2 linked regions of the Nothobranchius furzeri genome follow. The protein of the gene in region 2 purifies or fractionates together with the protein of the main gene of each other region. This does not show direct contact. Links are inferred from orthologs where the notes say so. Each region holds a gene or a part of one and is shown on either strand. Other genes may lie near its edges.

Evidence for each region. Proteins that work in one complex are often made in the same cells at the same time.
Region 1: the proteins of rnf41 (region 2) and mtcl2 purify together in Homo sapiens (affinity purification with mass spectrometry; 3 studies listed by BioGRID and IntAct, with this or other methods). This does not show direct contact. The link is inferred for Nothobranchius furzeri from reciprocal best matches to the Homo sapiens genes RNF41 and MTCL2.

Annotation. Positions count from the first base shown.
Region 1 is NC_091755.1:34,603,714-34,609,714, reverse strand, and holds the start of mtcl2 (microtubule cross-linking factor 2), read right to left. Parts: upstream 3,802-6,001; 5' UTR 2,476-3,801; coding exon 1,522-2,475; intron 1-1,521. UniProt on the Homo sapiens protein: Microtubule-associated factor that enables integration of the centrosomal and Golgi-associated microtubules on the Golgi membrane, supporting directional migration. Preferentially acts on the perinuclear microtubules accumulated around the Golgi.
Region 2 is NC_091755.1:37,148,567-37,154,622, forward strand, and holds the start of rnf41 (E3 ubiquitin-protein ligase NRDP1), read right to left. Parts: upstream 3,761-6,056; 5' UTR 3,636-3,760; intron 2,917-3,635; 5' UTR 2,821-2,916; intron 830-2,820; 5' UTR 810-829; coding exon 720-809; intron 574-719; coding exon 302-573; intron 188-301; coding exon 52-187; intron 1-51. Other genes in the region: uncharacterized protein, read left to right, coding at 4,654-5,943. UniProt on the Homo sapiens protein: Acts as E3 ubiquitin-protein ligase and regulates the degradation of target proteins. Polyubiquitinates MYD88. Negatively regulates MYD88-dependent production of pro-inflammatory cytokines.

The sequences.
Region 1 (6,001 bases), about 2.5 Mb from region 2:
TTGGGTCCACGTGGCAGGGGTGAGGAGTGAGCACCACCTCACCCCTGCCACATGGACCTCAAGGGATAAACCATCAATCCTGCTCAATGGTCAACTTTCCTCGCGGGGTCACCCATAAAGACAGTGGGAGGGTTAAAAAAGAAAGCTGGAAGTTTGACTGAATAGAAAGCATACAATATTTTTGACCTGCAAAAATTTTAAAGATGAATTTAAAACACAACGAAAGGCAAAGTCGGGGTGAGATTTCAACCTATAGAAGAATGAAACAGAAGCTGCACAAACTGAATATGCTAAACAATAAAACAGAGAGACACAAGGGGCTCAACACTAAAGAATTGTGGGAAAAATGGGTCAAATGAAAAGAAAATCAGACTAAATATTGCCCAAGGACTTAGAGGTACTCTGACACCTCAGTATGTTGTTTAGATTATGATTACAGGACCAGGTGTTCCCACAGCTGCAACATCACTTGACTGCACATCCTGTGCTCCAAAAGGTAGCTCTAAGTGAGGTCCTATATTCAGTCTTCACCCCTCTATAGGTGGCAAGAGGAAATACTTTGTCATTTTTATTCCTTTCGTTTAATAGGTCGGACAAGAATGAAGAAACACACATTAGAGAAATTGCAGCTTAAAAACCAAATGATGAGGAGGAACAATCACAATATTCTGTTCACAGCTCATCAGTCTCTCTCCTAATCAATCTGTGACAATTACTGGCTTGTCTGGCCAATGACAGCAAGTGCTTCAGGACATGCTCCTTATTGAGTCCTTCCTTAATCAATCCGTCTGACTGTAAGCTTGACCAATGGATTCATCTAGATTTCATTTCACCCCTTGCTGCCAAACTGAGGGACATGAAACACTTTCTATGTCAGAAACTGATGATGGTCCCACTGCGTTGAAGAGAAAGAATGAAATGTAAAGATTTTCTCAATTGAAAATATAACAAGCTGTTTTCTTTGTTTTTCTGAGGCTAGGAGTGTGTTTGCTAGTCTGAATTAGCTCTAAAAATTTGAAAAGGGGGGAAAAATACCTTGAACTTTAACAGAAATGCATTAATTGGATATTGGATGTGATAAGTCCACATATTTTTTAGCTCTTTATGCTTGATGTTCTATTAACAGCAAAATATCAGAGGTTCTCTAACTTTTATAATCAGTAATAGTTTTGTCTATTGGGCTTTGTTTATAATTTGCTTATTTTTACTTATTTCAGTTGCAAATTGGGGAATTCCAATGTGTTAATTGGATGAACCATAACATAACCATAACATGACAAAATACAAATATGTTGCAGTGATAAATTATTGAAAAATGTGGGAAAAAATAAAGACAAATGGATGAAATATCGAATCTTACGAGAAAAATGAATTATATTTTTCTTCAGTTGTTTGGAGCACAGGTCAAAGACAGAAACAGGTCTTTGTGCTGACATCGCGTTTTGACGCAGACGCCACTGAGCTGGCACCAATAATAAACAGCTGCGGTTCCTCACAGGTGATACCAAATGAAAGACTTACTTTGAGGTAATCATTCTCAGACCTGAGCTCCTCTATCTCCCTGAGGTACTCCTCATACATGCCGTCCGTAAACTCCTCCGTGAGGTCTGAGAACGCCAGGGATGTGCTGGCGGGCACCCTGCTGTCAAACGAGGTCACCGAGCGCTCCTCGCCGGGTGAAGTGCTCCCCTCAGCGGTGTCGATGCCCGGATTAGGTCGGTTCTTATCGTGTCTCTCTGCGGCGGAGCAGGTGGTCTTGGTAGCGGCTTGTGAAGCAGCTCTGTCCCCGAGCGGCTTCTCTCCGTCCGGGCCGCGGCTGCTCCTGGACTCGGCGTCGCTGCTCCCAGCATCCGCCGACAGCTTGTTCTCCTCGGAGGCGCAGTCCGACAACTCGGAGCTGCTGTCGGTCGGGGAGAGCTTCCCGGCGGCGCATCCGGAGTCCTTGGATAAATCATCGGATCCAGTGCTGGCGTCCGACACCTTTCTCCGCGCGCTGGTGCTTTTAGCCGTCTTGGATGCCGGGGACTTGGACACGCTTCCGCCGGAGAGAGATGACTTGCCTCCCGTTTTACCACCACATTTCTCCGCTTTTCCTTCCATCCCAGCGAGGCTCCCCACCGGGCTGCGTCTGGAAACGCGGCTACCCAGATGGATGGCTCCGGGCTTGACGCTCAGGGTCGGGGTCCCAATCCCTCCGCGGATCTTTGTAAACGACCAGCCGGGCACGTCCTTCGGTCTAGCCGGGGATGGCGCACGGTTACTCTTTTTCTTCTCGCCAGTCTTCGGAGCGGGAAGCCCGGGAGCCTCGGACCGGGGCGGCTGACCGGGCACCGCGTGCTGCGCCTGGCCGCTGTCCGAGCTCTCCGTCCCGCCTCCGCTTTCCATCTTCTGCCGGAGATGGAGTCTCCGTTGTTTGGGCGAGGCGAAGAAGTGAGTCGCAGAGTTATGGACATCAACCTCCTTTGTTTTTGTCATTCATTCCGTTTAGAGCGACAGAGAGGCGGAAACAAACCCTCTCTGTTCGCTGAAACAGGAGGCAGAAGTTGAAGAGAAATAAAACAACTGCAGAGCAACACAAAGGAGATTCACTCCTCACAGAGCTGCAGCACGACAGGAGGAGTCGGAAAGGGCAGGATCCAGAATCTGCAAAAACGCAAATGATCATCCAAAGATAAACACGTTTAGAAACGACACCACTTTGTTGTCTTCCCCTCCTCCCCTTTAGAGATTCTTTGCCAGTGAAGAGAACCGGTTCCTGCTCCGAGAGTTGGTGGGTGAGAACAGGGAAGCAGTGTGATCACTGTCTCTCTCCTCCTCCCTCCCCCAGATAATAATGGGATGGACGAAACTGGAGCTCTCTATCGCCACCACTGCGAAGTAAACAAGCTCGTTTTCTCTCCTCATTATTAGATTAGCCATTCAAATAAAAGTGCCTGTAAACAAGATGGTTTTGGAGGCAACAGATCAGATCTGTTGAAGTGTATGAAAATGTAGACAATGAGTGTTTCAGCTGTTGTAGATGGCTCTTTGAAGGGCCTCAGTGTGGATAAACAGAGATCGGGCTGGCAAACCTTTCCAAAGAATGCATTAATGTCGTCTAAAGCCTGAGTCATGCGTCTGCATCAGTGTGGAGACACGCAACACCATTAATCCGTCCTTGCAGGCTTGCTGGAGAGATCGGTCAGTCGAGATGGAGAATGCAAGCTTGTGATTGGTCAGGGCACCGCTGTCGTTTACACCACCGCGCCATTGCGCCCTCAAAAATATAAAGAGAGCCGAGGATAACTAGCGGCAGACACCGAGAAGATTGAAGAATACCTCGCGAAAAAACATTAAAAATATGAGCGTTTAATTCCCCCATGACTGGAGGAGTGAAAAGATACGCAGCAGGCGTTTAATTTGTGGACGGAAATGACAGGAAACGTGGGTTTAGAGGTGGCGAGCCCATGAAGAGGTGGAGGAGAATGAGAGACAAATTTGTCCATGTTAAAAAGCCTCTTATATTAAAAAAAACACAATATAAACACACTATCTTGGACCAACACATGACAGGATACCACAGAACAGCGATATGCCCTCTGTTGTCCTGGCAGGGAATTGCTTTGCAACACTCCCCAGGAGATGGCGAAGTATGAGGGCAAAACGTCTCCATCCGTGCGTGCGTGTCTCTCCCTTTTGGAGCTGACGGAGAAGCATGACTCGGGCTTTACCCTAACACCCTTAAAGCGTATTGGACCATTTTCCACCAGCCACAATGCCTGTTGTTTTGGATGCGTCCCAGTCCCAGAAATGTAGTATTGCATCGTTCTGCTAAATGTACACTTCAGATATATTTTTCATGCACTAGGCTTCCAGAACGCATCAAGCTCAGCAGTTTAGAGCATCAACATTTAGCCTGATTGCATTGAGATCAAACAACTGACATGGGACAGAATGTACCCCATTTCACAGCTTCTCTGTTGCTTTTGTTGTCTTCAGGTTGGCGTCTATCTACTGAAGCCACTTTCAATCAGAATATAGCTTTGTTAGCCAGAATACACACATTTCCTCCTGATAATTCAGTTTTTGATCACTTAATCATTACCATTGACCAACAGGCTAATGAGAACTGACCAATTCTTGCAATGCGAACCCTAAACCTGCTCAAAGCCCTCGATCAAACAGATGATTGGATTCTGCAATTGGCTGTTAAACACAATTTTAGGATCCTGCTCTAAAGCTTCAAAATCAGGACGGAAGTGAGTAAACAAGCCGATGGCACCTTGAGACCTTATTTCACCCCACTCTTGACAAATTTCTCAATTTAAATCCAGAAAGAAGCACCCAACCAGCTAATCTGCACACAGTGAGCATATTTCACTAATTATGGGTGAGGAATACTCTGACGAGCCTCACTTTGACGTTCCGTCTGGGTAATGAAGTGTGATACTGTCTGTTCTACTTTCCTCTTCCAAAAAAAAAAAAAAAACAACATAAAGTTGCTGTCTTTGCAAGTTACCCAGAGTCCAGTAATTGGAAGTCAGTCGCTGCAGCATGTGGAGGTGGTTATAAAGCTGAGATAGACACATCAGCAGTGCTGCTTTTTTCTGCCTGCCTACATCAGGCCTTCTATTAGAATTAATTGTAAAAATAATAATGGATTAGATTTATTTATTTGTAACGCTCTTTTTACTGGTCTCAGCAAAACCTCCCTCTCACGCCTTCAAGCCATCCAAAATGCAGCAGCCAGACTCCTAACCAAATCCAGCAGACGAGCTCACATCACTCAAGTTTTACAGTCCCTCCACTGGCTCCCGGTAGAATATAGAATACAGTTTAAAGTTTTAGTCCTGACCTATAGAGCTCTTAACAACCAGGCTCCTACCTATCTGAGCTTTTATCCCCACACACCACCTCTCGGAACCTCCGATCCACATCTGAAAACCTCCTGGCTGTTCCTCGGACCAGACTAAAAACCAAAGGGGACAGGGCCTTTCAGTCTATTGCCCCCAGACTTTGGAACAGTCTACCTTCAAATCTCCGTCTCTCTAACACTGTAGAGATCTTTAAAAATCATCTAAAAACTCACCTTTTCATCCAGGCGTTCCCTCCCTAAATGTTTCAAAAAGATGGCTTTGTTCGGGTTCACCTTCACTTTGTTTATTCTCATGATTTTATTTTCTACTTTATCACTGCTATTGTTTTTTGGATGTTTTTATTGGTTAGAGGTATTTGCCCTGATCTTTATCATGTTGTACAGCGCTTTGTGATTTATATCTGTGAAAGGCGCTCTATAAATAAACTTTTACTTACTTACTTAGCGCACTTCAGCACTCAAAGCATTTTCCATTATTCATACACACATTCACACACTTCCAGTGATGGTAAGCTGTACCACAGCCACCGTGGAGCGATCGGACCCACCGGACCCTCTGACCACCACAAACACAGGCAGGTTGGGTGATGATGTGTCACAACAGCAGAGTACACTGGTGGGAGGTGGGATCAGTCCTGCTACCTCCAGAGCTTCTGCTGCCCCAAACTGTTATGAGCTCTTACAATTTAGTTACCACAAGTTTTATTATAACTGTTAAATTTAACTAAATCTCTGTAAGAATACCAAAAGTGTTACAAATCTCTGCTCTTCATGTTTTGTTCCCCGTGAGAACCGGAGGGGGAAATTGTTGTCCTCGTGTGGCCTGTTGTGTCTTGAAAAAAATGTTTCACCTTGCTCTCCTTCCCTGAAGGCTATAGTAGCATAAACATCAGACCCAAACTGCTGATTGTGCTTTCTCCCATAAGCTTGTGCAGTACAGAACAGAACTAAAGGACTGAAAGTCTTTAGATGGGCTACTGTGTTGATTTAATGATGATCTAAGCTTTGATGAACCCCATTAGGAGCTGAAAGTCTGTTATTTAGACTAAACTTCATCATGAATGCCAGCTGTCTGATTAAAAAACATAAATTCACCAGCAGGCAGTTTCATTAGATGTTTTTATACTTAACCACTCTTGTAAACAG
Region 2 (6,056 bases):
TCCAACTGTTAAACACACACACACGCACACACACAAACACAAATAATTTACTTGTTCTCCCAACTGGTGTTTGTGTTCTGCCACGGTTTTCTCCAGCTCTGAAATCTTTGTTTGCTGCTGTTGGACGACGCTTCGTAAGTGTTTTATGCAGTTATGGTTGGACTGCTCATCTTTGGGCATCTCAAGCCTGAAATGTTAAAACAAAATAGAAGAAAATATTTTTAATGAAGACAAATAAACTAGATATTTTTCTAATGTTCTCTAGTGGTCTAGCCGATACCCAACAACAGATGCTACCTACCCACACCCCGCCTCGCAGTTGACGGGCCTTTTGGGGTTGTGCTCACAGTCCTTGAGGTGGGACTGCAGCTGGTCCAGTCTCAGTGTAGCCGTACAGCCAAAGCTTGCATTGTCACAGCTGATTTGAAGTTTGGACAGCATGTTGCGCATGATACGGGGCACAGGCCGGAGGTGAGCAAGAGTGACCACTGTGCGGTCAACAGGACAAATCTGCTGCTGGGCAAACCACTGTGTTATACAGGCGTTACAGAATGCATGTTCACAATGTGGAGCCTAAAATTAAAACAAACCCAAAAAAAAAAGTATAATTAGGATGTGCAACAACAAACTTTGGTAGAACAGATTTCATACTTGGGACCAAACTATATAACGATCTGAACACGAGCAGATTTTATTATTTATACATGTGGTTGACTTACCTGGACTGGTTCTTCAAGCACTCCACTACATATTGGACACAGCAGGTCTTCATCTACCTCACCCTGGAACCTCGTAACGTCGTACCCCATGGTACACAACCTACAACCTCCTGAACAACACAATTTAAAAAAGATTAAATATAAACCACCTACACATAGTAGGTATATTAGCTGTTTTAATGTAATTAAAAATTTCTTTGTCAACAAAATAATGTAAAGGAGGAATGTGATTGTCCCAAATCGTATTGTAATGGATGACCCAGATGCCTTTCAGAAAGCAGAAATGGAGATACTTGGCAATGCTTGTACTGCAACCTGATGAGCAAATGTTTCTATTATCACTCTAGCCATTTTTACAAAACAATGCCATTAATTTGCCGCAATGCCGTGGCAGCATCAGGGAGCCTTAGGTTGTTCATAAGTGGTCAGACTGTGGCGGTAATGTGGTGCAATCGTGTCCTTTTTATAAGATTAAGGCGGTGTGTATTGTAAAAGGGCTTCTGAGATGCTGAATTATTTAATCTCACCCCCCCCCCCCAAACCGAAAGTATTTTACACAGATTTCAACACAAGAAGGTGACATGTTTCATCATGTTGTTTATTATGAAGAGGAAGAAAATATCATTTCGATAGCGCTTCTCAAGATAAAAATCACGAGGCGCTTCACAAAAACAAAAAATGAAAAAATATAAAAAAGAATTTAGAAAATGGTTAAAAATATATTTTAAATGAGCAAAAAAAATGGGCAATTGTAATTAAAAAATGTTAAGAAAGAGAGAGAGTGAACAGGAAAGAGGGAAATCAGTGGATCCTGAGGAAGGTGGAATAGGTGGGGAGAGCAGAACAAAAAGAGAGAGGTGAAGAAGGTCATACAAAAGCCAGCTTGAACAGGTGAGTCTTCAGCTGCTTTTTAAAGGAGACCACTGAGTCCACTGATCTCAGGCTCAGGGGGAGAGAGTTCCAGAGTCTGGGGGCCACAGCAGCAAATGATCTGTCACCTTTGGTCTTTAGTCTGGTGCTGCACAACCAGTAGGCTTTGATCACCGGACCTCAGGGACCTGCTGGGGGTGTAGGGACTAAGAAGATCACCAATGTAAGATGGTGCTTGTCCATGTAAGGCCCTATAGACCAGAACCAGGATCTTGAAATGAACCCTGAAGTTGACTGGCAGCCAGTGAAGCTGGAGGAGAAGCGGAGTGATGTGGGTGTGTTTGGAGGACTTGGTCAGAAGCCGAGCACAGGCATTCCGAACCACCTGTAGACGGTTCAGGGAGGTTCTGCTCAGACACGTGAAAAGAGAGTTACAGTAGTCTAAGCATGAGGAGATGAAGGAGTGGAGAACTGTCTCAAGTTCAGAGCGGGACAGAATGGGACTCAGCTTAGCAACGTTCCTGAGATGGAAGAAGGAAGAGCAAACAAGAGAAATGACATGAGAATCCAGGGTGAGAGCTGGGTCAAAGGTCACGCCAAGATTCCTGACAGAAGGTTTGGTGTGGGAAGCAAGCTGACCAAGAGAGTCTCTGACTTTGGGAACCAGCTTGTCTGGGGCACAGATGAGGATCTCAGTCTTATCTTCATTCAGCTGAAGAAAGCTCCCAGCCATCCAGGTTTTGATAGAGTCTAAGCAGGTGTGTAACAGCTGCAGCTTAGACATCTCATGGGGCTTAAAGGAGATGTACAGTTGGATGTCATCTGCATAAAGATGGTAGGATATTCCTTTGAAGGAGCTCAGGATGTGCTGAAGAGGAAGCAGATAGAGGAGGAAGAGCAGAGAACCTTGTGGGACACCATGGGTAAGGGTGGTGGTGAAGGACCTAAACTTGGAGACGGCCATAGAAAAGGAGTGCTCAGAAAGATAATGTAATATAGTACAGTAACTAATTCTTTAGCTCACTGTTTGTATATATGTGTGTGTGGTTGTTTTTTTACATTTACATTTATACACTTGCTACGCTACTAAATACCAGTACTGTGAAACAAACCTGGCTAAAACTAAGATGAGAAGGGTTTTTTACACTATCTATGAATAATTACTATCAAAAAATGATTGACATTTTGTCAAAATAATAATTTACAGTTCTGGTTAGAACATCTTGTTTACCTCAAACACAAACTGCCTCAAATATTTCCATTCAGCTCCTCGATTCCTCACATCTGGCAGAAATGCTCTGCCTGCCTAAAAAGACACAGACCCTGCCTGAATAAAAAGGAAAAAATTATTGCATTTAAAAAAAAACTTTTAGTCTGATGATTGTAAACCACATATGCAAGAACATTAAATCCCATATCACGTATACACAATGTACTCAAATGAGTTTAACTAGCTGAAATCTGAGATTAAGTACTTTCTAAAAAAATTTACCATACCGACAGTTTTTTTGGAGGATAAAGAATTTGAACTTTAAATTGAGCGTAGCCATTTTCATACATATTCACATCCTCAGGCTGACTTTTCAACGTGATTTTACAATAAACATATTTATCTACTGTCCTGGTTAACAAATGAATGATTCCAAAAAATGAAAAGAAACAGCTTTGAGATCAACATGTTTCCATCATATTTCAGAGCAAGGAGCACAAAACTTAGCTGAGCATCGAGGTTTCTCAATGTTATCTTCACGCATATAATAACACTTTAAACTAAATCGTAAAAACTTGATTTTTAATAACGTAAACATGCGTCAAAGAGAAAAATATCTTAATGGTTTACAAAGTACAGCAGCACAGTTTGACTGTCACGATTTCTGAATATGTAACGTTAGCTAGCCCAGCTAGCGGCTACGCTGTCGTTGGTTTCCTTTGGACATTAGCTATAAGCTAACCAGACTGACCTCCGTTAGAGACAACTTCACACACCAATAGCTGTTTACAGTCAGCTGCACTGCTCAAGATATAACAGCTGACTGATATACTTACTCAGACATTGAGTAAAATAGATCCTTTTCACAATTCAGGCTGTTTTCAGACGTCGTACCAACACTAGCCCCTTGCTAATCACGTCTTGGTGCTACGTCATACAAGTCTACGTCTCAATCGACACGAGGGGAAACGTCATCACGCAAAACTGCAGAAATCCCAAAAGTGAATTTTATAATGAAAAATGTCTCTCTTACCGAAACAATGTTAATCACTAACACTGTCGAAAATGTCCTTATCCGGTTAAAACTTTCATAACGGACTGCTGTTTCTTTGTACATTCTTTTTTTAATTGTCTGTTTGTTAATCAGTTTTGGGTAAATAATTGTATAAACATTAATCCGGACTTCAAGTTATAATGGAGAAATGTGTTATTTGGGTTCCTCAGAAATGACATTGAGATTAAAAAAACACATTAATATTATAATAATGTAAGCTAAATGCCATGTTGAAAAGTTTGTTTGTTTTCAAGAGCTCAGACAATACATTTCCTCCATTATGATTTCATCCAATAAAAAAGCCTCAAATGGATCAATTTTGTGAAATAATTGTTAAGCATCAGTCTAATGTGCTCTGTTATGCTCTGTTATGTTATGCATCTGTGTAAATTTGTAAATAAGAATGTGTGTGTGTGTATATACATGTATGCTTTTATACTGAAAAGTACCTGTAGAGGAAGTTAAACTTTGACCTCGTAAATTGACCAATAAAAGGGAGCATTGGTGTTTTAGTGGCCGCAATCAGTGTGTGCTACCACCAGTGAAGGCCCGTGAAACAGACGCTCTGTTTATGGATTTATTTCCTCCTTTTTTTAATCCTGGAGATTCATTTTGGAGTCTTGGACCAACCGCTGGGTAAACGAAACTCTGCTAACAGGTTATGGGCCCAGCACGCTTCCGCTGCGCACCAAGCTAATCAGGACAGCTGGGAAAGCATCCTGCTAGCGTGTGAGGAGCACAGAACCGACCAACAGCAAGTCCGGTGAGTCGAGTGAGAGCTACGACGTGTGTCGGACACTATGAGTCGGAAGACAGTGGAAGCCAGTACCCGCTGGTCAAGACTGGTATTTGACGGAGACGAGGATAAATATGAACTGTGGGAAACAAAGTTTCTCGGACACCTCCGGCTACAAGGTTTGAAAGACATTATATTAAAACCGAAAGACGATGACGATGATGAGGAATATGATTCAAAGAACGCAGAGGCATATGCCGAACTTATACAATTCCTGGATGATAAGAGCCTTTCACTGGTGATGAGAGACGCAGCTGACGACGGGCGGAAAGCTCTAATTATCTTGAGAGAACACTATGCCGGGAAGGGAAAACCCCGCATAATAAGCTTATATACAGAACTGACTGCATTACAGCAGAAGAGCGGCGAGAGTGTAACGGATTATGTTTTGAGAGCCGAGGCCGCCATTACAGCGCTGAGAACCGCAGGTGAAACTTTGAGCGATGGACTGCTAATAGCAATGGTTTTAAAAGGTCTACCTGACTCATTTACGCCTTTTAGAATCCATGTGACACAAAGTGATGATGACATGACTTTTTCAGAATTTAAAAGTAAACTGAGAAGTTATGAAGAAACTGAAAAACTGCGTGTGGACACTGCCACAGAGGACAATGTGATGGCAGCACGGATGAATGAGAGGGTCAAGCACCTGAAGCCGAAATATGTTCAACCAAGCATGCACGAGCGGAGCGCTGATAGTAAAGACTTTATTTGTTTTAAATGCGGTAAAAAGGGACACAAAGCTAATGTATGTGACCGCAAAAAGTGGTGTAGGCATTGCAAGACCACCACGCACCAGACTGAAGTGTGCAGAAAGAAACACAGAGATGATGAAGCACGGAAAGCTGCTGATGACTACGAGGGAAAGGAATACGCATTCCGACTACAAGACGCTGACGGCGAGATGGACGAAACCAGAACCAGGAATCTGATGGTGGACACAGGAGCAACGTCCCACATTATCACGGATCCAGAGAGGTTCAGGAGGTTCGACGAGGACTTCGAGCCGAGGTCGCATTACATCGAGCTGGCAGACGGAACCCGGAGCAGAGGAGTGGCTGAACGGAGAGGAGAGGCTGTGGTAACCTTGATCGACAGCAGAGGGGTCCAACACAAGGTGGTGCTAAAGAGAGCACTATACATCCCTTCATATCCACAAGACATTTTCTCTGTGAAGGCAGCTACTACCAATGGAGCAACGGTCATCTTCAAGCGAGGTAATAATGTACTGAGACATTCTGATGGAACGAGATTCCCCATCAAGGAGTACAACAGACTATTCTATCTACGAACTGTGAGTAGAAAACAAACAGACCAATGTAATGCTTCTTATGACCTGAAAACATGGCATGAGATAATGGGACACTGCAATTTTGATGACATTAAGAAACTGCAGGGAGTAGTAGA